2 linked regions of the Pelodiscus sinensis genome follow. The protein of the gene in region 2 purifies or fractionates together with the protein of the main gene of each other region. This does not show direct contact. Links are inferred from orthologs where the notes say so. Each region holds a gene or a part of one and is shown on either strand. Other genes may lie near its edges.

Region 1 (12,305 bases), on a different chromosome or scaffold from region 2:
AGATTCAACTTAAGAACAAACCTACAGTCCCTATCTTGTACGTAACCCGGGGACTGCCTGTACTCTACATTCGTCATTATTTAATTTAATCATATTTACCTTAGACCATTTCTCCAGTTTGTCCAAATCATTTTGAATTCTATCTTGAAAGCACTCACAACCCCTTCCAGCTCTGTATCATCCACACACTGTATAAATGTACTCTCTACTCCATTATCTAAATCATTGGTGAAGCTATTGAACAGAACCAGACTCAGAATTGATCTCTACAGGACCTCCACTTGTTATGCCCGTCCATCAGGACTGTGAGCCATTGATAGCTACACTTTGGGAATGATTTTCCAAGCAATTTTGTATCCATCTTACAATAGCTCCATCTAGGTTGCATTTCCCTAGTTTGTTTATGAGAACATCTCAAGACAGTATCAAAAGGATTAATAAAGTCAAGATGTACCACACCTACTACTTCTCCTTTTTCCACAAAGCTTGTTACCCTGTCAAAGAAAGTCGTTAGGTTGGTTTGACGTGATTTGTTCTTGACAAATCCATGCTGTTACATATCACTTCACTTTCTAGATACATGCAAATTGATTGCTTTATTATTTACTTCATTATCTTTTCAGGTAAGGAAACTAATTACTCAGGCTGTCCTTATTTTCTCTCTCTGTCTTGACTTCCACCCCACTCTGCCTCGCTGAACAAAGGAACATTTGAAGGCTTTTCAAGTCTTTCTCCTAGCTAGCCGTCGAAGGGGTGTGTGTGGAAGTAACAAACAATGCTTCCTTGAGATCTATATCTGCATCATCCCAGAAATATTACTCCTGTGCCATGGGGAACTGTAAGGGCTCATCTACACAGCAGTGGTATTTCAGAATAATGTTATTCTGAAATAACATTGTCAAAATAATTGCATGTGGTATAGACATGGACTATATCAAAATAACGTCCAACTGGAAGACTTCTTACTCCAATTCCTATAACCCTAATTTTATGTGGAGTAAGGGAAGTTGGAGGAAGAGTGCTCTCTCTCACACTTCCTGCTGTGTAGACACTGCCAAAAGCTGAAATAAGCTATTTTGTCTTAAACTATGGAATTGATGTTGCTCAAGTTGCGTAGCTTATTTTGGCTTTAGCCCTGCTGTGTGGACGTGCCCTAACTGTTCTCTTTTGGCCAGTATATTCATGTTATATTAGATTAGTAAAATAAGTCAGTATTTGTGCAAACCACAAACTACTACATAGTTCGCCTTATTAAGAAACAGAATTTTATATAAGTTGACTGTAGCTGATAAAAAGTTCATCTTAAGTGGAAAAAAACATATAGCATTTGCTCTTCAATTAAGAACTTATGTTCCCAGCCTTGTACAACACTAAATAGCTTATGGAGAGAATACAGATATTCTACATTGACTTTTCACTCAACTTAAGGCATGGCTTGAAAGACTATAGGAAAGCTTATAATTACATCTATAATGCTTGCTTGCTTGTTTTGAATATTCTCACGTACCTAATTTATCATCATATATATTAAAATAGAGTGGGGAAAAGTGATAAATATAAATAATGATATCTTTCTGGTTTAAACTGACTCCTTACCAAACAGCTGCGCAGGACAGCTTGCATAGCAGCTTCTCTGCAGAGTGCTGTAAGATCAGCTCCAACATATCCAGTTGTCATTTCTGCTAGGTTAATCAAATCAACATCAGTGGAAATAGGCATATTAGAAGTAATCAGCTGTAGAATAGATCTTCTCTGTTTAAGTGTTGGCGTTCCAATGATAATCTAAAACAAATACCATAAATGGAAATTTATCAGTGTTTTGCTATTCCTCTCTCATCTCTGCAGACCTAGACAAGTCACTTATATTGTTCGTATCTTGGACTCCCTTGCATCAATTCTCCTCCTTTTACACTGTTTGACAAGGGACTAATTAATAGCTCTATAATCCTTTGAAGATATAATGAACTGTATCAGTACTTTTCATTTACACATACATTTTAATTTGAACAAATGCATGTTTTATAAAGAATGCCACTTAGTGTTTAAAGATTAATCAATGGGAGATTTAATAGTGAAATAATAATTTCTTTGGAACATAAGAACACAGGAGGCTAGTGACAACATACTTTTCTATTTTAAAAAACTGTACAGGCCACAAGTCAAATAGAAAAAAACCCCATGGAGAATGATTACTTTAAACTCTGTAATACATGGACCAAAGAAAACATGACTGTACAAAAATGTAATTCAGTAGCACAAAAAAGGACCAATAGGTGTATATGAATAAAATAAAAATGCGTAGAGAATGTGCATAAATTACTGAAAATCTGCTAAAATTTAACCAAAATTGTGTATTTCATTAAATGCTGCAAAATCCTTAAAATTTAGATAAGCGTGAATGTAGTTCAGCATAATTTATCTAATTTGAAGGATCTGGGATAACGCTTGTGAATGACACATTTTAGGCCATCATCCTGGAACAGACCCTTGCATCGAGATTGTTGCAGGTTCAAAGTTTTAGAGAGTGCATGGATAAACAATAAAGGAAACAAGGATGCATCATTTTGCTAAATGTATTTTTTGTCAATTTATTTTGACAACTGTAAGTTAGCATTTGATGTTTGAGATAAGACACAATCAAAGATGGTATATTTTGTAAAAATAATGAAGCGAGTACCTTAACTAAAATGGGGCTCTGGCTATAGAACTCTGCTATTAAATCGTTCATAAAAGTGACAAGTGTCAATTGTGTGTGCGAATTAGTATGATTCTATCTGTTCTTAGATTTTAGAACTACCTCTATTAGACATGAATATCATCAATTTATGCACAATCCAAAAAGTCCCTACAACCATGGTATCCAACACGCTAGCCACATGTGGCTATTTGGCCAGTGAGTGTGGCCAGTTCGGTATAGCTATAGACACTATACTGGCTGCTGCTTCAGAACTGGTTGGAGACCATAGCCCTAACAATGTACTACTTTTCATTTTTAGATGTAGTTTTAGTGCTTGTGAATGGTGCCCCACTGAAATAATTTGATTTTGTCTATCTTAATACATTATTGATAATACAGTCTGCTATTTCTACCAGCAGCTCAGCTCATTTTTTAGGCCAGGCCTATCCTCGAAAAATTTTGCTGGTGTAACTCCAAGCATAGATACACCTTATATTGGCCATTAATTGCATTTGAAGTAAAATTTATACCTGTTCAACAACCAAAATGATGAATACCAGCAAAAGTACTTTTATGCTGCATATCTGCATATCCAGTAGATTATGATCAATCAGTCTAACATCTTGTGTAACACAAACTTCTTACAGGACTTCCCTGAACCAATTCATATTTGAACTGAAGCAGCTCATTTGGACCAATCTTGTTCAAAACATTTTCTGTGATAGGAAGGGACATGGTGGATTTTCCTAACTTGTGCCAATGGTTACTTACCCTCACTGTTAAAAATGTATGCAGCATTTCCATTTGAAAGTCAGTTTCCAAACACCCTTGTCTACTAGACTGAAGATTTTGTTTGCCATGTAGAAACTTGTGTATGGAAATCACTCCTTAGCCTGCTCTTTGTTAAGCTAAATAGATTGAATTTTTGGACTGTATCACTGTAAGGAAGGGTGGAGAATCTATAGCCCACGAGTGGCTCCATCCCCCAGCTTAATTTCATCTTGCCAGTGACAAGTCTCTGAACTGCAGGCCAGAAGCCCAGGCCCCTCCTGCAGGGCTGGAGCATGGAGTCACCCATTTAAGCAAGAGGTGTTTTTTTTCTTTTCTACCTTGACAGCAGGTGACCAGTGAGGGGTTTGTTTGTTTGTTTGTTTTTTGGCTTTTCACTTGGGAGCAGGCAAGTAGTGAGGTTTTGGGTTTTTTTGCTTTTGTGGCTCCCCCAATTGATTTTTTTTTGTGGGTAAGTGGTCCCAGACAGAAAAAAAGATTCCCTGTCCTATTCTAACACATTTTTCAAATTCTTTAATCATTCTGTCAGCTCTTTTCTGAACCACTTCCAAATTATTAACACCTTTCTTGAATTGTGGACACTAAAACTTCAGTATTCCACCAGTAGTTGCAAGAGTGCCAAATATAGAAATAAATTCCCTATTAACTCAGTATTCCTGTTTATACAATGAAGTATGGCATTAATGCTTTTGGCCAGTGTCACACTAGACACCTCTGTTCAGCTGATTATTAACCATAGCCCCTAAGTCTTTTTCAGCCACTGCTTCCCAAGATAGAATCCCTCCCCCTATAAATATGGCCCATGTTCTTTATTCCTATTTTTTGTTTGGGTACATTAATAAAAACACACATTGCTTGTGCATCTTACCTGTGACCTAGAGCAATTATTTATTCTCCCAAACAGTGTGTCTGCTGCAGACTATATCAGTGATTGTGAACCCCTAACCCTTCCATTTATAGGTTTCATAATGTAATTGTCAGTTAGCCCATTTAATGTGCAACAATTCTGAATCATTCCAGTTTTTAATCAACATAGTATGGTTCAGTTAATGCCCTACATTAGTGTAAGTACAGATTTAATACATGTGCTTTTTAATCAACAATGTAAAAACCAAGAAGGGGAAAAAACCCTACAAGCCTAACTATAAAGTAGCAAAAAGGTAACTTTTCCTTCTCCTTTGTGGGTCACTGATCTAACCATAAGACATAGGGCATCAAATCTGATCACCGAATGTGACATTGCAGAACACCATCACTAGGCCCTGAATTGATTTTTCAATAGAAAAATGACAAATGGTATTGAAGTGTCAGAAACTAATCAAGAAGAACAGACTTTTCTCACCTCTTGGTCAAATCTACCATGTCTCCTCAGTGCAGAATCTAAGGCATCGGGCCTGTTTGTTGCTGCCATAACAACCATCTCATTTTCACTGCCTATGCCATCCATAAGTGTTAACAATTGAGCAACAATGCGATTTTCAGGGATGCTGTTCGAACTTCCCCGTTTAGGGCACAAAGAGTCAATTTCATCAATAAAGAGAATGGTTGGTCCTTCGCAGGACAATTCCCTGCCTTGTTCAAAAACTCTTCGCAAATTTTCTTCACTTTCTCCAGGCCTTGAGCCATATATAGCTGGACCACTGATGCAAAGTAAATATGCTCCCACTTCCCTTGCAACTGCCTTTACAAGAAGAGTCTTCCCCACACCTGGAGGGCCCACCAACAGTACTCCACTAAGGACAGAGATACCCAACTTCTTGAAGGTTTTGGGGAAATGGAAAGGCAAAACAATTCTCTCCTTCAAAGAGCTGCCCAAATCATCCATTCCTGCAACTGAAATTTTTGTGGTATCATTTGACAAGTGTCTGTACCATTCTAAAGTGACCACTTCTTTAACATTTATATTAGTTTTGGGGGTTATCAGGCCAGCTTGTTCTGTAAATGGATCTACAGACAGTATTTCAACACACACCACTGGATTTCCAGGAATTGGGGCAGCAGTAACAACATGGTGAAGAGAAACATACACATTTCTCAGCAGCTCTTTCACTATCTCCTGCAGTGTTGCTTGTGGGGTGGCCTTTTTCAAGGCAAGATTCCTAAGTACCACTTTCACTATTACTTTTCTCAGCGGGTGACAGGCCAAAAGCTTCAAGTGGCTGACACTCAGTGTGAGACTTTTCAACTTGCTTGCAGTTAAACCTGAAGTTCTGCATTTCAGATCTAGCTGCAGGTAGCCATCAGTCACATCATGCCTGGGCCAAGCAGTGCACAAACAGCAGCCACCAGGAACCGTGATCTTGACTGGGGCCCCGAGCCTGGCTCCCAGAGAGGACAGAGTGGCGGGTCCCATCCTGCATCTCTGCGTGCCTTCGTCTCCCGGATCCAAGGGGAGCAGCTGTAGGCGAGCAGCCGCCATAGCCGGTATTACTGCGGGTGATGGCAAAGCACATGCAAAGGGAGCCCCTGGCAAGCGCAGAGGGCCGGGTTCGCCCACGTCACATACAGGGGAACCCCCAGACAAGCACTGGCAGCTCGCTGCCCCCCCACCGACCCTTCCCCGCGCCTTACAACCCCGGGAGGGAGGGAGGGATGCCCCCCTCCGTTACAGAAGCGCTGGGTGGCTTCTCGAGTACCCCAGAGACCCGGGCACGGGGCAGGAGCTAGGTCCGGGGCAGCCGGAGACGAGCGGCTGAGCAGGTTTCTCGCAGCGAGGAGACGCTGCCGGCGCGCGGTCCCGCCAGCGGGGACCAAGCAGGCGCTCCCCGCCTCAGTAGAAAGCGTCCTTCCTTCCGCCCGGCTACTGAGCATGCGTACTGTCAGCCGAGCCTACGTCACCGTCTCCTGCTCGGCCACGCCCTCGAGCTAGGAGGGAGGAATGCGTGAGGGGCCGTTCATCGTTCCCGCCGTCTGGGCTCCCTCAGTTACTGCTGAGTTAAGGCTGTTAACGGAAGGTCTCTTTCCCTTTCGCTCTCCTATTGGCCAGCGAGGGACCTTCTCCCCGCCCCCAACACGAGCTCTCCCCCCCTAGCACGCTTGTGCTGGTCCGCCCCCTTGCCGTGAGAGACTCCGCCCAGGGGCTGCCTGTCTCCCAGCCCCGCCGACCCACTTCCCTCCAGGCCTCGTCTCCAGCCGCCGCTATGGGCGGTCTCCCGTGCGTAAAGAGCGGAGGTGAAAGTAAGCGGGCGTGCCCTCTGCAGAATTGCCTGAGCTGCGGCAGAAGCCAGCGGGGAGCTAGTTAAAGAGCTGGCAGGGACCCCCACTGCAATGCCTGTAAGAAATGTTAAGTTATTTTCACCACTGCCAAAGAAAACCCTGTGCTGGGTGAGAATCGCCTCCTGTGCCTCCGTCCCCTTCCAATAGTCTCTAGGGCTAGAACAGGCTTGTAGCCCTTAGGGGGGCCACGTTGTGTCTCAATCGTACCCCCTTGGGTTAAACCTCACTCCCTGCCAGTGCCCATCAGTCTGTCCTTCTGCACCGTGGACGGTGGGCAGGGTATGCTCAAGCTCTGTTTCTGGGGTAGAGCAGCAGTTAAAACTCCTGCTTCAGGGAAGTGGGAAGCCAGAAGGATGTCATCCAGTTCCTTGGTAGGGGAAAATAGCATGCATGTCATAATCAGTTCAGCAATTAATAATGCGAAGCACGTGGAATGTGTATCAAAGAGAAGAATACATTCCTGACTAGGAAATAACTGTTTAGTTAGGGAATGAATTGATTCTCTAGCTTTGTGCCCTACCAATTATTCATTTTTATTCAGAGGTCTTATGAACACGTATCCGAGCTTGGTAAAATGGCCTACTCTGAGAGTTTAGGTAGAATGTAGCCGCATTAGGTCGAACTTCTGACCAAGGGTGGCGAACCTTTTTTAGGTCCCGGGCCGCTGACCCACAGAAAAATCACTTTGCACACAAGTGAAAAGAAAAAAATATCCAAACCCCCCACAGATGTGGTCCTTAACTGAGAAGGAGAAAGACACTTCCCACATTTCCTTCACACGCCAGAGTCTGGGGGAAGCCCAGACTAGTAGATTTTGTGTGTTCCAGCCCCTTGTGGGGCGATGGGTTCCCCAAAGCTGGGATGGAGCCCTGAGCATCAGAGGCCCGATCCATGCAAACTGGGGGCTATATCCAGCCCACAGGCCTGATGTTCCTCACGCCTGTTCTAAACAATGAGTCTACACCACCAAGCCAGTTCAATCGACTTTAGGGGTTTTCAAAGGCAATTTTAGTATTCCTACTTTTCATGAGGAGTAATGGTAAATTAGACCTTCAATAGTCAACTTTACAGTAATACAAACAAAGTGCTGTGGAAGTCAAAGTTATTAGCTTCTGGGAGGTATGCCACAGTGCTCCGCAATGACTGATCCGGCCACTTCCAACTCTACTGCTCTCCAGGTGAACAGAAAAGGCCCTGGGAAAATTTGAATTTCACTTCCTGTGTGGCCAGCGCAAGCAGACCACAGAGTAAGCAGTATACATGACCATGAGTTTTCAGGGTCACAGATGCACACCAGCATGGAGCATGCAAGAAATCCTGGACCTCATTCCTAGCTGGAGAGAGAAACTTGTTTTTGCAGAATTATGAACCAGCACAAGGAATGCAGAAATCTATGCCAAGATTGCAAATGGCATGGAGGAGAAAGGATACGACAGGCATGCTCAGCAGTGCTGCATACAAATAAGGCGCTGAGGTGGTTGTACTAGAAGACAAGGAGGCAAATGGACAGTCTGGATCATTGCCACAAACATGCTGCTTCTATGAGCAGCAGCATGTGATCCTAGGGGAGATCCTACCAGCTTCATCCAGTCCATGGATTCCTCCCAAGACACTGGTAGCCACAGGTAGCAGTTTGGCGAACAATGTGGATGAGGAAGAGGAGGTGGAGGAGAATGTTCCAGCATGTGAGCAGGGTAACTGATGTCACCAATACCTAGGTCTTTGGAGTTAATCGCTGCCTCCCAGGACATCTTACAGCCAGGCACTGATCCTGGAGAGGGCACTTCTGGTGAGTTCACATTTTTCATCATGCTACAAGTGGGTTAAAGCATTTGGGTGTGATCTGTGCCACCTAATTTGCCCACACAGTGGTGGATTCCCTAGAACAACTTGTTAACGTGACTGGAAATGCAGTGGGAATCCTCCCTGAACATCTCCAGGAAGCTCTCATAGAGGAACTCTTTAATCTTTCCCACAAGTTTTCCAGGGAGGCAAGCCTTATTCCATCCTCCATGGTAGGACACCTTTCCATGCCAAGCCAGCAGTAAGTGGCCTGGCATTATTGCATCACAAAGCATTGCAGACTAAGGTCCAGGTTTCTGGCCACAATCAGTCAGCATCTGCTCCCTATCACTCTGTGAGATATTTGAATACTGATATTTTGCATGGCAATCTGAATAAACCAGAAAAGCTATTAGCCAATATCTCTGAAGTAAACCTCTGTTTGCTCAGGCATGAGCCCCTGTCTTTCCCTGCTTCCATGCCCTCTTACCTCCTGCCTTCATGGTCCCATAGGAAGGAAAGTTGCAGTTTCCTGGCAAATGGGGTGCCAAACACCTGGGCACCGTGTGAGCTTCTGCCCTACCACTATGCCTGGACCTCTTTCCCCCACCTGCCCGTATGTTCCCGTGGATAGGGAAGTTGAACTTTCCTGGCAAACGGGGTGCCAAAGACACAGGCCCCGCCACCACCCTCAGACTTTCTCCTTCCCACAGTCTCAAGCTTTGGCCTGCTGCCAAACTGAGTCTAGCTGCTTCCCTAAGAACTCGGTGGTGTACCTGCTGCATGGTGGCTGCTTAAAAGCATAACTGTGGCCTTGTACATAATATAGAATCATAGAATACTAGGACTGGAAGGGACCTCGAGAGGTCATCAAGTCCAGTCCCCTGCCCTCATGGCAGGACCAAATACTGTCTAGACCAGGGGTCTCCAAACTTTTCAGCCCGAGGGCCGCATTAACTATCAAACAGCAGTTCGGGGGCCGACTACACACTTGAGGTCCAAATAAAAAACAATCAAAACATGGATATTGTTTTTAATTATTTATTTAATATTATTTTATTCAGTTATTATTTAATAACACATTGATACACTACACATGAACACCTGTATTAGTGTGAATGGTGAAATTGTTTCCTGGATGCCAAAATAGCAGACATTTCTGGCTTTAGATTTGTTGTCCCTAACATCAACAGTGACCTGAGATTATCATCGGACAAGTTTGTTCTCAAATTGTTCTTCACATATTTCATTCTTGAAAATGTTTGTTCACACAGGTATGTTGTTCCAAAGATTGAAAGGTACCTTGATGCAAAAGTTTTGACATTAGGAAAGTCTTCCTTGGGCAAAAACTGGTAAAAACCCACTAGTCCTATTTTGAACTTGTCCCTAAGGAGGTCATTTGCTTGCAACTCAATGACTTCCAGCTGCAGTTCATCTGGGCAACTGGCCACATCTGCTTCAAATGGGTTTTGAAACAATCTCACTTCTTCTGCCTTTGAATCCAAGTCAGAAAACCGCTGCTGAAACTGCAGCTGGAGGTCTTTGATGATCTCGCATGCAAATGACGTGGGGAACTCAGCTGTTGCTTCAGCCATGAAGACCTTGCACTGCTGAAAGTGCGTCAAGTTGTTGGCCTGTACTTGTTCCAAAAACAAGACAAGTTTGGATCTGAAGGCCTTTAGGTGGGTGTATAGATCAGAAACTAGATTTTGCTCTCCTTGTAGTTTTAGGTTCAGAAAATTTAAATGACTAGTTATGTCTGCAGCAAAAGCCAATTTCCATACCCACTCTTCATCAGACAGTAATGGCTGTGGCTTGCCTTTACTTTCCAGGAAGTCACCTATTTCCTTTCTTAACTTAAATACTCTGCTCAGAACTTTCTCACAACTTAGCCATCTTACTGCTGTGTAATATGGTAAATCTTGCGATTCTGTGTCTGTATCTTCCAACATGTCTCTGAACTGTCTATGGTTGAGCCCATGTGACCTTATTAAATTCACCATCTTCACCACAGGATTCAGTACACTGCTAATGTCCACATATTTAGCACACAAAGCTTGCTGGTGAATAATACAGTGCAGGAACATTGGTTGTATAATGTTTTTGTCATTACACATCTGCTTCACTTGTCCAACCAAGCCTTTCTTTATGCCACTCATGTTCTTTCCTCCATCAACAGTCAGGCAACTGAGGTTAGTCCAGTCCGAGTTATAATCAGCAAATGTTTTTTTCAACTCATTGAATATATCCTCTCCGGTAACAGTGCCATACATGCTATGTAGGGAAGCCAGCTCTTGTGTTATGTTCATGTCTTCATCCACACCTCTAATGAACACAAGCAGTTGAGAGGTGGAGCAGCTGTCCAGCGATTCATCCATTGCAATTGAAAAATGGCAAAACTTGCTTGCATTTTTCGCTATTTGAGTCACAATGTTTTCACCCATGTCTGCAACACGGCGGGCAATGGTATTCGCACCCAAAGCTACATTTTCAAATTGTTTTGACTTTTCTGGGCAAAGTTCCTCAGCCACTTCCAACAAACATTCCTTCACTACTTCACCATCTGTAAAGGGTTTGCCACTTTTAGCCAGGACGTAGGCAACTTTATAACTGGCCTTAGTTAAGGATTCATTTTCATTTGAGGATTTACTGAACAATGTCCTCTGAGATGTGAGTTGATTTTGTAATTTAGAAAATTTTTCGGCACGGACTTTACCCTTCAACTGTACATATTTCTCCTGATGTTTGCTTTGATGATGATGGCGCAGGTTGTATTCTTTCATCACAGCCACGGTTTCATTGCAAATCACACACAATGTTTCTCGCCGGATTTGATGAAGAAGTATTTCAAACTCCATTCTTCTTGAAATTGCCGACACTCATCGTCTATTTTTCTTTTCCTCTTCTCGGCCATCGCTGGGCACTAAAATAAAGTGAATTCAACATGAATAAATAATGAAACTGAAAGTATCTTGCACACAATATCGCTCAAAAAACCTGATTATGCGAACTAATTTTGTCGCAATAATAGCTGCAAATGACCCGAAACAATTTTTAAAAATTCTTATGATTTCTTAAGTTAAACTTACCTGAATATAGTGTGCAAATATATCCACTTATGGTAGAGAGATTGTTGCTTTTAATGTTTCCTCTTCAGAATATTCGCCTGCGAATCCGTTTCTCCCGGAAGGGGGGGGGCTTTTCCCCCTGCTCTCCCCTTCCTCTGCACGCTGTCCTCCCCTCCTGCTTGCCACCGCTCACTCCTTCCCCCCCCCCGGGCGGAAGGGGTCACCTTTTTAAAGTTCCCGCCGGGGTTCACGTTCCCCCGCACGTCGCCGGGCGGGCGTTACCACCACCGCCCATCCTGCCCCCTGATTGGCCGGCTGCCCTGTCAGTCTGGGCGGGGGAACGCCGCCCGTGCTAACCCCCGCCCCCTGCGCCGTTTGCCGCCGCGCGGCCGCTTGTCAGCGGAGCGGCCCGCTTCTCCTGCCCCTGCGCGGCGTGAGTACACGCCGCACACCCCTGACAGGGCCCCCCCCCCCGCGGCAAGAAGGGCCCGTTCGGCGGCACCCCAGGGACGGGCGGGGGTCGCCTCGTCACACCGGCACGCGGAAGAAGGCGGGGCCAGACAAAAAGGTCTCCACGGGCCGGATGAGAGGGCCTCGCGGGCCGCATCCGGCCCGCGGGCCGTAGTTTGGAGACCCCTGGTCTAGACCATCCCTGATAGACATTTATCTAACCTATTCTTAAATATATATCCCTAATGTTGTTCCTTTTTTTGCTAATAGATTAGGTTTTATGCTCCACAATTTATCTTCTGTAAAGTCTGCTCTTCACTTTT
Region 2 (12,508 bases):
GATTTGGAAAAGGTACAGAGACAGGTAAATTATTAGGGGCATAGAACACCTTCTGTATGACTAAAGATTAAAAAACCTGGAACTTTTCAGCTTGGAAAAGAGGTGACAAGAGGAAAGGGGGAGAATACGATAGGTGGTCTATAAAAATCAAGAGTTACATGGAAAAATTGAATGAGGCTTTACTCCTTCATATAACACAAGCTTCAGAGTCATCCAAGGAAATTAATAGGCAGCAGATTTAAAAATCAAGCAAAAGAAATTATTTCTTCACAGTCAACCTGTGGAACTGTTTGCCAGGGGATGTTGTGAAGCCCAAAACTATACCAAGGTTCCAATAAGAATTACCGTAAAATCGCGAGTATAATGCACACCTATCTTTTAAACGTCAGAATTCTAGAATAAACTGAACTCTTATCTATAATGTGCACCCCCATTATACTCGCGATTTTACGGTATATATAGGAAGGAAGGGGCTTGCGCCTGCCACGGGGCCCCCTGTCCAGCTGAGCTCACGCCTGCCATGGGAGCCCCCTGCTTAGCTCCCCATGCTGAGACCAGGCAGGGAGCGAACCAGGGCTATGCAGCCTAGCAGCGCCACCGGCTCCTTGCTTCACCTGCTGTGGGGTCCCCCTGCCCAGCTGAGCTCATGCCGCGCTGCGCTCACACCTGCCGCGGGGTCCCCCTGCCCAGCTGAGCTCGCATCGCGCTGAGCTTGTGTCTGCTGCGGGGGTCCCCTGGCACAGCCTGAAGGACCACCGGGAAGGCAGTGAGCCAGGGCGCTGCAGCTGGCTCCTTGCCTTGTCTGGAATCCTGGCAGGGCTGTGGCCCCCGCGCCACACTGCAGCAGGAAAGTTTCTGTGTGGAGGGGAGCGAGAGTTAAAACTTTAAAAAAAATAGCTCTTATGTATAATGCGCACCCTGGCTTTGACCCTAAAAAACTGGAAAAAAGTGTGCATCATACTCGAGATTTTACGGTAGATACATTCTTGGAGGACAGGTCCACCAATTGGTAGAACAAGTAGGGATCCAACACCACACTCTGCACGTTCCTAGCCTTTGTTTGCCAGTAGAGGAGAATGGACAACTGGGAATGATTCACTTGATGATTACCTATTGTCCATTCCCTCTAAAACACTTAGCACTGGCCACCTTCTAAAGACAGGACACTGGGCTAGATGGAACTTTGGTCTGACTCAGTATGGCCATTCTTATAAAGAACCCAGCTGTACATACATCTGCTGTAAACCACTAGAAACCACTCCCTTCCCAGAGCAGATATAGAACCCAGGAATCCTGACAGGAGCTCGAGCTCTCTCTCGGCACAGTTAGTAACAAAGTAAATACACATTAAAATATTAAACCGAACCAATATCCCTTAAGTGACTTCCACAAGATATCAGAAAATGTTATTATTAGAGCTGACTGGGTCTAATATTTAATTTTCTCTTTTATAATAGGAACTTGTATATGTACCTGGTGTTGCTTGGGTCCTTAAGGGTAGTAGGTTTGGTTTTCTTTTTTTAAATTAAAAAGAAAATGTACATGCTTTATTTATTTAAATGATTGTTCAGAACAGGGGGCTGGGAGGCATGTGGGTGCTCAGGCAGGGGGCTGGGAGGTGTGGGGGGGCAGGCATGCAGGGGTTCAGGGACTGAGGGCAGGGAGTGGGAGTGCTGGGTTAAAGGAAGAGCCTTGGAGGTGTGGGGGATGGAGGGCTCAGAGCAGGAGGTTCTGGAATGAAAGCAGGGGGCTGGCAGGTGTTAGGGGCTCAGGGCAGATGGTGATGGAGTGAGGGCAGAGTGAGGGTTCAGTATGGGGAGGCTCAGAGCAGGAAGTGGGGGTGCAGAAGTCAGGGTAGGGGCTTGGGGAATCTGAAGTTGGGTCAGGGGGTGCACTCTCTGGATGGTGGCTCCTCCTGGGGGGCCAAAACTGGAGGGCCAGCTTTAGCCTCCAGATTGTGCAAGGGGCATGGGCCTAGTGCTCCGGTGGCTGGCACTGGCCTCCAGCTGCCTCCTCCATCCTGCAGTTGGTCCAAGGAGGGTGAGGCTTTGGGGGCTGGCCCCAATCTCCAGCTTCTCCCCCCCCCCCAACCTGCAACTGGTCAGGGAAGGCAGGGTTCTGGAGGCCAGCCTGGCATCCAGTGCCCCTCCAACTTGCAACATTTCTGGGGATGGGCCGCGTTCTCAGGTTTGGTCCCTGATGGGCGCAGAGACAGCAGGGCTGGTGTGCATAGATGCCCCTCCCTTGGTAGCACTGTTTGGGGGCAGGGGGCATTTATGTGCTCTGGTGGCCAGTCATATGGCCCAGGTGGCCACTCCGCTGCCTCCCCATTCACTCTGCATTATAGCTCTCTCCTGTGCTTGCTGCCCACAGTGCTCACTTTAAATAAAAGTCTCCTATAATCAGCCCCCTCCCTTTCCATGTCATGGAAAACAGTCCCATTCCAGGCACGTCACATTTCCCTGGGGCAAACAAACCCAGAACTTCCTTTAAGCTATGACAAAAGGAAGCCACATATCAAATTTGGTGGTCCTAGGTCTTACTGTTTAGGAAGAGTTCTTGAATGAACAGGGGTCGGTCGGTCTCTCCCTATATATATATATATATATATATATATATATATATATATATATATATACACACACACACACACACACACACACACACACACACACACACACAGAGAGAGATAAAAAGATACAGTGCTCCTGTCAGCAAATTGCAAGCTATCTGCCAAAAATTAAATGTTTTGAAGTGCCTTAGTATCCCCTGAAATCGCAGTTAAAGTTGCCACCTCCTCCAAATCTGAAGTGGCACCACTGTCCAGAGTGGTTCCTGAGTAAACAGAGGCCTTTGCGGCCAGCCCCTTCATAGGAAAGCATATTGATTGGGCTTTAGTTGTTTGGCTCTTAGCCCTGAAGGATTTTTCCATTTGTTCTTGGAGCAGTTTCAATGCTCTTTTGGGGCCATTTTCAGCCAAATTCCTCCATAATGTAGCTCCTACTACACCAAGGATGAATGTGGCCCTTTGCAAAAGGTGCAAAATTCTGAGTATTTTGACCAACTTTATTCCTCTGTACCCCTGCAAAAGGTAGGCAATAAACAAAGTGATAAGGGATGCTGCACAGCTGGTAGGAAAATATAACCTCCCTGTATCAATCAGGGTAGAAAGAAGGGGATCTAGAAAGTCTAGGGGGAAGGGTGCAAATAGGGAAACTGAAGCAAGAAAGACTCTCTCAGTGACTGGTAAAACGAAGAACGGAGCAAGCAACATTAGTTGGCTGAAAAGAAGGAAAAAGAATAGATGGTAATGGAGATACAGTCCTTGCAATACCTCTCAAACTTGACAAGTATATTTCACCAGAGACCTGTGTAGCTGTAGAGGGGAGTGGATCTGAGGGTGGGGACAGTGTAGGAGCTGGGACATGAATTCATACCTGTTTACACCTGTTCAATATGAACAAACCATGCTGAATTAGTTATGTATTTTGGGAATGCAAACAAATGAGTTAACTCACAGCAGAGAACAGCCTCCTGGCACTATTACATATTTAAAAAAAGCTGTTTTCAACTGACCACATTGTGGGAGGGCAATAGAATGTGAATGAGGATTATTGAGTCTTGCCCTTCATCGAGTTTTGCACGGAAAACCAGTCATTGCCTGGGTGGCTTCAAATACTGACTCCTGTCTTTAAAGTAAACACAGTTACTGTGTTGAACTCAAGATGAGCCAAGAGCAAGGTATCTGGAATAAACATTAAATAGCTGCAGGAGGAAGATCAGGACCCAAGTTTTTATCAACATAGCTCCCCTGACTTCTGTGGGGACACTCCTGCCCTACAGCAATATAAATAAGAGGTCCTTGAAGTGAATCTGTGAAATTCAGAGACTTAACCTTCATGTTTATTAATAAGCATCAGCACTGCAAGCCCAGACATTTCCATAGTTTCCATAAACTTTTTAGCTACTTTTCTAGCCCAGAGAAGTTTAAATAAATCCAAACAGAATTAGCACTTTTTTAACTTTCCCATTACACATCGCTGAGCCATTAGTGCATCTGCACTCTTAGGTCCTGGCCGAGGGACTGCCCCATGCATCTCAGAGGTGCCTCCCTTGGTCCTTTAGCAGGCTGCTCCTATTGAGTAGGAGTCAGTAAGGTGCATTCTTCGGGGGGGGGGGGGGGGGGGGAGGTTTTCAGGCAACAGACAAGCTTTCGCTGCTCTGTGTGCTGAGCTTGGGAAAAGTACGTTCTTCCTCCTCGACTTCGCAGCCTGGGGCTCTGTAATTCATGCAACTTCCCCCTCTCCGGTTAAGAGCAGCATTTTTGCTATAACCTAGTCCGGTGTCATTTCATCTCTTGCAGCCGGCTCAAGACAAAAGTAGAGCCTTCTGCTACCGATCCCCAGCCACGTTGGGGTGGTCCCAGCCCAGAGGCTAGGTTTGGCTCGTTAGTAAAGAGAAGGCCCGAATGCAAAACGCAAAGCAGGTGTCCCTCCCCCACAACCCACACACACCTGGCTCCTAAGATTCAGGGGTCAGGGGTTACGATGAGGAGGCTGGGCTCCTCTGCAGCTGTCGTTGTGCACGGAAAAGTCCAGCTGTTATTTATAGGCATCTCCCTGCCACCAACATTCCCCCTTGGTATGGGGGAGGGGGGACAGGAGCCCCCCCATCACCGCAGCCTTCCCACCAGCCAAACACGCTCAGCTCTGCTCTGCCCTTCACACCAATCCCCTGCTTCTCTGTCCCTCCTCCCTCACCCCCGGCCGGTCGCGCCCCTACCGTTGGTCTCTTCCACGTGATGCCCTGAGTTTTGTACGAGGTGGGCCCCAGCTCCTGGTAGCCCAGGGAAGAGGGGACGGCGGGGAAGGCGGGGTCCTGGAAGAGCGCGCCAGCCTGCAGGCACTCGTCCCGCAGCGCCTCGAAGTCCTGGCTGAGGTATTTAAACGCCTTCGCGTTGGAGCCCAAGCCCCGGGCTGTTTCCCGCTCCTTCGCCAACTTCGCTGCCATCCCTGACATGGTCGCCTCTGCCGCGGCGAGCGCGCTGCCCCTGCTCGGCGGGGACGTGGGGAACCTGAAGTAAACAGCAGCCAGACCGGCTGGTGAATCATCCGTGGGGGAACTGCTGCAAAAATTGGGTGTGGCTCGTGCTTAAAGCTGCAGCCTCCTCCTAGTGTCCGTAGGGCAGAGATGCACAGGGCGAGCTGCAGCACCACCCGCACCCCCACATCTTGCCTGTTTTCTAAGGTGGGATCCTCCTGGCTGGGATGTGCCTGGCCACTACCTAGTCCCCCCTCAAGCAAGTGTCCTTTACACTTGTCCGTTGTAGTGAACAGCCTCCTCACCCTATCAGAAGTCGGCAAAACCTGGTCAAAACCTACTTTGAAGTAGGAATAAGAGCCTCCGGAAAAGGGCGCTTTTTCCGGAGGATCGGGGCCAGTCTAGACGCTCTTTTCCGGCTTTTTTAAAAGCCGGAAAAAAGCGGCGGACATTTTTATTTAAATGCCGCGGGGGATATTTAAATCCCCCGCGGATTTCCCTACGACGACTAGTGAAATTTACATGCCCCTTCCGGAAAAGGGGCCAGTGTAGACGTAGCCCAGGGCTATATCTAGACTGGCATGATTTTCCGCAAATGTTTTTAACGGAAGAGTTTTTCCGTTAAAAGCATTTGCGGAAAAGAGTGTCTAGATTGGCACGGACGCTTTTCCGCAAAAGCACTTTTTGCGGAAAAGCATCCGTGCCAATCTAGACGCGGTTTTGTGCAAGAAAGCCCTGATCGCCATTTTCGCGATTGGGGCTTTTTTGTGCAAAACAATACCGTGTTGTCTACACTGGCCCTCTTGCACAAAAGCATTTACGCAAGAAGGCTTTTGCCCGAACGGGAGCAGCATAGTATTTCCACAAGAACACTGACAATCTTACATGAGATCATCAGTGTTCTTGCGGAAATTCAAGTGGACAGTGTAGACAGCTGGCAAGTTTTTCCGTAAAAGCAGCTGCTTTTGCGGAAAAACTTGCCAATCTAAACGCAGCCCAGGAGTCAAAATCCTATCTGGGCTATCACTTTGTCTTGGTGTCTGGCCTGGGTTATCAACAGGAATAAAACTCACACCCTGGCCTCTATCACTTAAACTAAAGGGGACACATGTACCACCTGTCCTGACTATAAAGCTTGTATTTATTTCATTTCCTCTTTAGCTCCTCCATTCCAAAAGTGGCTGTGCTGTGTTTGAAAGTGATGGAAACTGTGCTGCTTATGTTTTGTCACATGCTTTGGGAGCCTCTGGAATTTAAGGGGATTATTGTCACCTTTCCTGTTAACACATTACATTTTGAGGGGTTCCTTAAATCTTGAAACATTTGCTATTGATGCTGTACAAAATACCCAGGAAAAGGAGCAAACTTAACATTAGGGTTATGTCTATACTGCAGGCTTCTTGCAGAAGAACTGTTTTGTGCAAAAGTTCTTGCACAAGAGTGCGTCCACAGTGGTCAAAGCGCATCACAATAGCAAAGCGCTTTTGCACAAGAGAGCGACCACATTGGTGGGACGCTCTTGGGCAAAGACCTCCCTCCCGGAACCACTTCAGACAGGGCAAAAGGGCACCGGGACCTTCTGGGGGCGGAGGCTGGAGCTCCTCTGAGACATGTGCTTAAAGCAATCTCCCTGGACAGCTGTTTCTCTGCTGCTGCATGCTTTGGGACTCCTGGTAGGGATTGAAAGCTGTAGCAGTTCCTGTTGTGGTTGCCCTCTTCCTCTTTGGACACCACAGCTTGTGCGCTAGTGCTTTTGGGGACTTTTGCCTTCTTGCTGTGCCATGGAGCCAGGGATGGCCCTGTGCCTGCTCTGGCCCCACACTGTCATTTTGGAGTGCCTGCAGCTGCTGCTCTATGCTGCCTCACTACTCCTGCACAAGCTCAATGCCGAGCTCACTCTGGACTCCCTCTCCCTGGATGTGGCGGCTTCACTGTGGCATCCCTTCCGCACTGTGGAGAGGCGATACTGGAGACTCGACACCAGTTCCGACTGGTGGGACCGGCTGGTCCTGGAGCAATGTGATGACTAGCAGTGACTCCACAACTTCAGGATGCGGAAGTAGATGTTCCTGGAATTGTGTGGCTGGCTCACCTCTGCGCTCCTCATAGGCAACACCCTGCTGCGGCCCACCATCCCTATGAACAAGAGGGTCGCCATCGTCATGTGGAAGCTCGTCACCCCAGACAGCTACCACTCAGCGGCACACCAGTTCGGGGTGGGCAGGTCCACAGTGGGTGCCGTCTTGATGCAGGTAAGGCCCTCGGGGGGGCTGCAGTCCCTGCCCAGGGGAAGGGAAGACTCCAGGCTGTGGGAGCCTGGGAGGGTATGGGGGAAGCCCTGTCACCCCCAGGGGCTTGTGCCGTTCCTCCCTCACATAGGCCTGTCTGGTGTGTGTGGATGAGGCTCCGGGGCAAGGGGGCCCTAGCGTGTTTGGTGGGGAGAGGGCATCACAGGAGGGCAGGCACCCCCCCAAGGGCTTATACACCCACCCTGCCCCATTCTTGTGTGTTCCCTGTGTGCCCTTCTGCAGGGTGTCTGAGCCATCAATGACATCCTCCTCAAGAGGGTCATCCGCCTGCGGGACGTGGACGCAACCATGACTGGCTTCACTGCCCTGGAGTTCTCAAACTGCGGGGAAGCCATGAATGGGCTTCCCATCCGGGCACTGGAGCATTGAGCAGCCCACTTCATCAATCGGAAGGGGTACTTTTCAATGGTGCTCCAGGCCCTTGTGGACCATCGTGCCCACTTCATGGACATCTATGTGGGGTGGTTGGGTAGGGTACATGATGCCTGCATCCTCCGAAACTCTAGCCTATTTTGCAGGATGGAAGCGGGCACTTTCTTCCCCCAGCAGGAATTGACGGTTGGGGACGTCCACATGCCACTGTGCATTGTGGGGGACACGGCCTACCCTCTCATGCTGTGGCTGATGCAGCCATACACTGGACACATGGACCCTTGCCAGGAAACATTCAACCAATACCTGAACCGGGCCCGCAACCAAGTGGGGTGCACCTTCAGACTGCTGGGTGGGCAGTGGGAGGGGACTCCCAATTGGGAGGGGGAGGAGGATGGGACTCTCAACTGGGAGGGGAGTTCTTGCTGGGAGGGGCAGCTCTTGCCAGTGCCTCTGCGGGTACAAAGGCTTCGGCGTCCTTCAGGCCGGGTTGGGGCAGGCATCACAGGGAAGTAGGCAGGATGGGTGCCAGGCCATGCCAGAGTGCACAGCATGGCTGATGTGCGACATGAGGGTGGAGATGGTGTCACACATGAGATCGCAGTGTTGGAGGAACTGGCCCAACGCCTGCTGCCACCAGAGGCGTAGCAAAGGGAGGGCATGGGGGGAATTGCCCCTGGGCGCCACGCTAGGGGGGCACTGGGCAGGGCAGGGAAGGGGGAAAACTAGGGGGAAGGGCCGGGAGAGGAAGGGGCTTGTGCGGAAGGGGAGGTGGATGGGGTGGGAGAGGAAGGGGCTTGTGCGGAGGGGGAGGGAGAGGAAGGGGCTTGTGCGCAGGGGGAAGGGGACGGAAAGAGGAAGGGGTGGGAGAATAAGAGGCTTGTGTGGAGGGGGAGGAGCTGGGAGAGGAAGGCACCAAGGGACAGCCTGGAGGAGAGACAAATGCCAGGGGGCCAAGTGGAGACAAATAGGAAAAGGGCAGGAGAGGAGGTGCCAGTGGGAGGGGGGACAGGGTGATGCTGGGAGAGGAGAGGGTAAGGGCATTGGGGGCCGGAGGGGGAGGTGCTGGGAGAAGGCTTAAAAGAAGGGGTGGGCATGTGAAAGGTGGGGATGGAGCAAGGCATCTGTGAGGGCACAGAGGGGCATGAGGGCAATGGGGGCAGAGAGTGGTGAGGGGGTGGGCATCAGGGAAAAAGAGGGCAAAGGAGGCAGGGGCAATGAGGAAAGGGGGAGGCACCAGGAGGATGCAGGGCTAAGGGAAAGTGCAGGTGCCAGGGGATTCTGGGGGTGAAGCAGAAGGGCAGACACCTGCAGGGGAGGGACCAGCACCAGAGCAGAGAAGCAGGGCAGGTGTGTAGAGGGAGGTGTTAGGAGAGGGAATGAGGAGCGGTAGCTCACATGATCAGAGTGGGGCTACTGGAGGAGTGGGCACAGGGGGGAGTGAAGGGCTGGTGGAGGGGGGCAGGTCACAGGAGGGCGGAGGGCAGTGAGAAGAGCAGGAGTCAGGACAGCAGAGGAGGGTGAGGAGCTGAGGGGCAGCAGGCACCAGGGGAGCTGATGGAGCAAGGGGAGGAGACATGGCAGCAGAGAGAAAAAGTAAAGGTTTATAAAATATTTATTAATAACTTGGGTTCCACAATGGCACATCCAAACAAGCCCCATGAACTCAGTACTGGTGCACAACACAAAATTCATTCTGCTCATGGGAAGATGCAGTACAAGTTCCCCTCAGCTGTGCACCAGGTTCAAGGCTGTGTCACATGGCGGCAGGGGGGAAGGGGTGCAAATTTTTCCTTTGCCCCCAGGTGCATAACACCCTCACTACGCCTCTGGCTGCCACCACTCCATGTCAGCCCGCAGCTTGCTGCTAACCGTGTCCCCCATCCGCTCCACAGCCTGGATGTGACACGGGAGGAGCAGATCGCACTGCCTGGCTTGCCGGACTGGTGCCTGGGTCGTTGGTGCCACCACCGCAGGGCTGGAGGATCCCTCGCTCCCCGCTGGTTCCGCTGCAGAGAACGCAGAAAACAGAGAGGCAGTCAGTCATCCCTGCCCACAGTGTCCCTGAGCCCCAGGCCCCCTTCCATGAGCCTCACGTTACACCACACCACAAGCCCATCGGTTCCCTGTGTGTGTGTTCACACAGATTAGCTCAAAATCCTGGGGGAGTGAAGTGATCCTCCATGGATTGTAACCCTTGGGAGACATCACTGTGAATTGAGACCTTTGTCTGTGTCCTAGCCACTTGGCATGCTGTATCCGTCTGCCTGCACTGTGTACACTCCCCCCCCCCCCCCAAGGTAAAGCACATGGCTTCTACTCTTGTCACTGTCTGTGAGCATACACTGTTGATACTGAGGTGGCAAAGTTTGCAGATGATACTAAACTGCTCATGGTAGTTAAGACCAAAGCAGACTGTGAAGAACTTCAAAGATCTCACCAAACTAAATGACTGGGCAACAAAGTGGCAAATGAAATGTAATGTGGATAAATGTAAAGTAATGCACATTGGGGAAAAATAACCCCATATACATATAATATGATGGGGGCTAATTTAGCTACAACTAATCAGGAAAGAGATCTTGGAGTCATCGTGGCTAGTTCTCTGAAGACATCCATGCAGTGTGCAGCGGCAGTCAAAAAAGCAAACAATGTTAGGAATCATTAAAAAAGGGACAGAAAATAAGATGGAGAATATCTTATTGCCCTTATATAAATCCATGGTATGCCCACATCTGGAATACTGTGTACAGATGTGGTCTCCTCATCTCAAGAAAGACATACTGGCATTAGGAAAGGTTCAGAGAAGGGCAACTAAAATGATTAGGGGTTTGAAATGGGTCCCATATGAGGAGATATTAAAGAGACTGGGACTTTTCAGCTTGGAAAAGAGGAGACTAAGGGGGGATATGATAGAGGTATTTACATCATGAGAGGTGTGGAGAAAGTGAATAAGGAAAAGTTCTTTACTTGTTCCATAATATAAGAACTAGGGGCCACCAAATGAAATTAATAGGCAGCAGGTTTAAAACAAATAAAAGGAAGTTCTTCTTCACGCAGCACATAGTCAATCTGTGGAACCCCTTGCCTAAGGAGGCTGTGAAGGCTAGGACTATAACAGGGTTTAAAAGAGAACTAGATAAATTCATGGAGGTTAAGTCCATAAATGGCTATTAGTCAGTATGGGTAAGGAATGGTGCCCTCAGCCTCTGTTTGTCAGAGGGTGGAGATGGATGGCAGGAGAGAGATCGCTTGATCGTTACCTGTTCGATTCACTCCCTCTGAACACCTGGTATTAGCCACTATCTGCAGACAGGGTACTGGGCTGGATGGACCTTTGGTCTGACCCAGTATGGCCATTCTTGTGTTCTGTAGTCATGTTTGCATACACATCCTCACATTGCATGGGAGCAAGTGTGGCAGACAACGTCTGGGTTCTCGGACTACTGTCATTGATTTCTTCAGAAATACAGCCAGGGCTACTGAGGAGTGTACTGCCCCTGCATCAAGACTCAGTGGCCCAGACACCTGGGCTGCTCGCTTCCCTGCTTCCCCTTCCCCCCAGCCCTCGTACAGGTATCCCAGGGAAGTGTGTGGCCACAGTGGGGGGTTTCCTTTCAGGGGGGGGCAGCAGAGGGGCAGGGAGCAGCCTGGGGGCTCTGTGGGGGCCGTGCTCACAGGGTTGGTTTGCTGTGCTTTTCAGAGGAGCTGAGCAGCTGCTGTGTCACACGGGCAGGCATGGCCATCAGCATGGGATGTTGAACCCAGCTGTCCTACAGTTTAGTACAGTGTCTTCACCCCAGTCCAGCCTTCCACACAATTAGGCTAAGTCTACACTCACGGCTTCTTGTGCGAGAAATATGCAAATGAGGCTACGTGTGGAATATCGCTGAGCCTCATTTGCATACCTAATGAGCCACCATTTTTGCAGAAGAGGCTCTTGTGCCAGAAGGAGCTGTCTACACTGCCCCTTCTTGCACAATGCCATTATTCCTGAAAATAATTGGCATAGCAGCATTGCACAAGAGGGTTTTTCTTGCGCAAGAAGGGGCAGTGTAGACAGCTCCTGGCACAAGAGCCTCTTCTGTAAAAACAGCAGCTCATTAGGTATGCAAATGAGGCTCAGCGATAGTCCACACTTAGCCTCATTTGCATATTTCTCACATAAGAAAGCGCAAGTGTAGACATAGCCTCTGCTTCTTATATAGTGTGGTTATAACTGACTCTCCAAACAGTGGTTGCTAGTGCTGCAACCTGACATGGGATGTTAGCTGAAGGAGGAAGTTATTACAACCTAATCTCAGTAACAGACGTTTGGAAGAGGTCTTCACTAAATAGTCAGGCTTCGGCTTTCTGTCCTGGGCCCCAGTGAGTCTTATCTCTCTGCTTTATTTTGGTGGATCCCCTGAAACTTGCTTGCAGGCCCCAGAGGGCCCTGGCCTTGCTGAGACCACTGCTTTATGGAACAGCATAAAAGCAGTACAAAGATCATGCTCTTTCTGAACAGTGGGCATTGTAGCTATTGTCCTGTTCTAAACAGGTGAACTGGCAATACACCAAACTCAGCTCCCTGCCCAATATTTCAGCACTGTGTATTGGGAGTAGGTGCCCCCACCTTTGTGCATGTGTGATGGGGTGTTACTTTCAGGCTTCTGCACAGGTTTATGGTACATGCAACCTCAGCTGCAACAGAGACTGCAAATGGTGTGTGCAATCAGCACAAAAGTTGCCCCAAAGAACTAGGAAGGGGTGTTGTGATGGGGTACTGAACCCTCCCCAACCCTGAA

What was found.
Region 1: the proteins of calpain-2 catalytic subunit (region 2) and AFG2B purify together in Homo sapiens (co-immunoprecipitation; 3 studies listed by BioGRID and IntAct, with this or other methods). This does not show direct contact. The link is inferred for Pelodiscus sinensis from reciprocal best matches to the Homo sapiens genes CAPN2 and AFG2B.

The regions. Positions count from the first base shown.
Region 1 is NC_134724.1:21,258,078-21,270,382, forward strand, and holds the start of AFG2B (ATPase family gene 2 protein homolog B), read right to left. Parts: upstream 6,373-12,305; 5' UTR 5,886-6,372; coding exon 4,809-5,885; intron 1,783-4,808; coding exon 1,597-1,782; intron 1-1,596. UniProt on the Homo sapiens protein: ATP-dependent chaperone part of the 55LCC heterohexameric ATPase complex which is chromatin-associated and promotes replisome proteostasis to maintain replication fork progression and genome stability.
Region 2 is NC_134713.1:155,229,105-155,241,612, reverse strand, and holds the start of calpain-2 catalytic subunit, read right to left. Parts: upstream 5,149-12,508; 5' UTR 5,020-5,148; coding exon 4,783-5,019; intron 1-4,782. UniProt on the Homo sapiens protein: Calcium-regulated non-lysosomal thiol-protease which catalyzes limited proteolysis of substrates involved in cytoskeletal remodeling and signal transduction. Proteolytically cleaves MYOC at 'Arg-226'.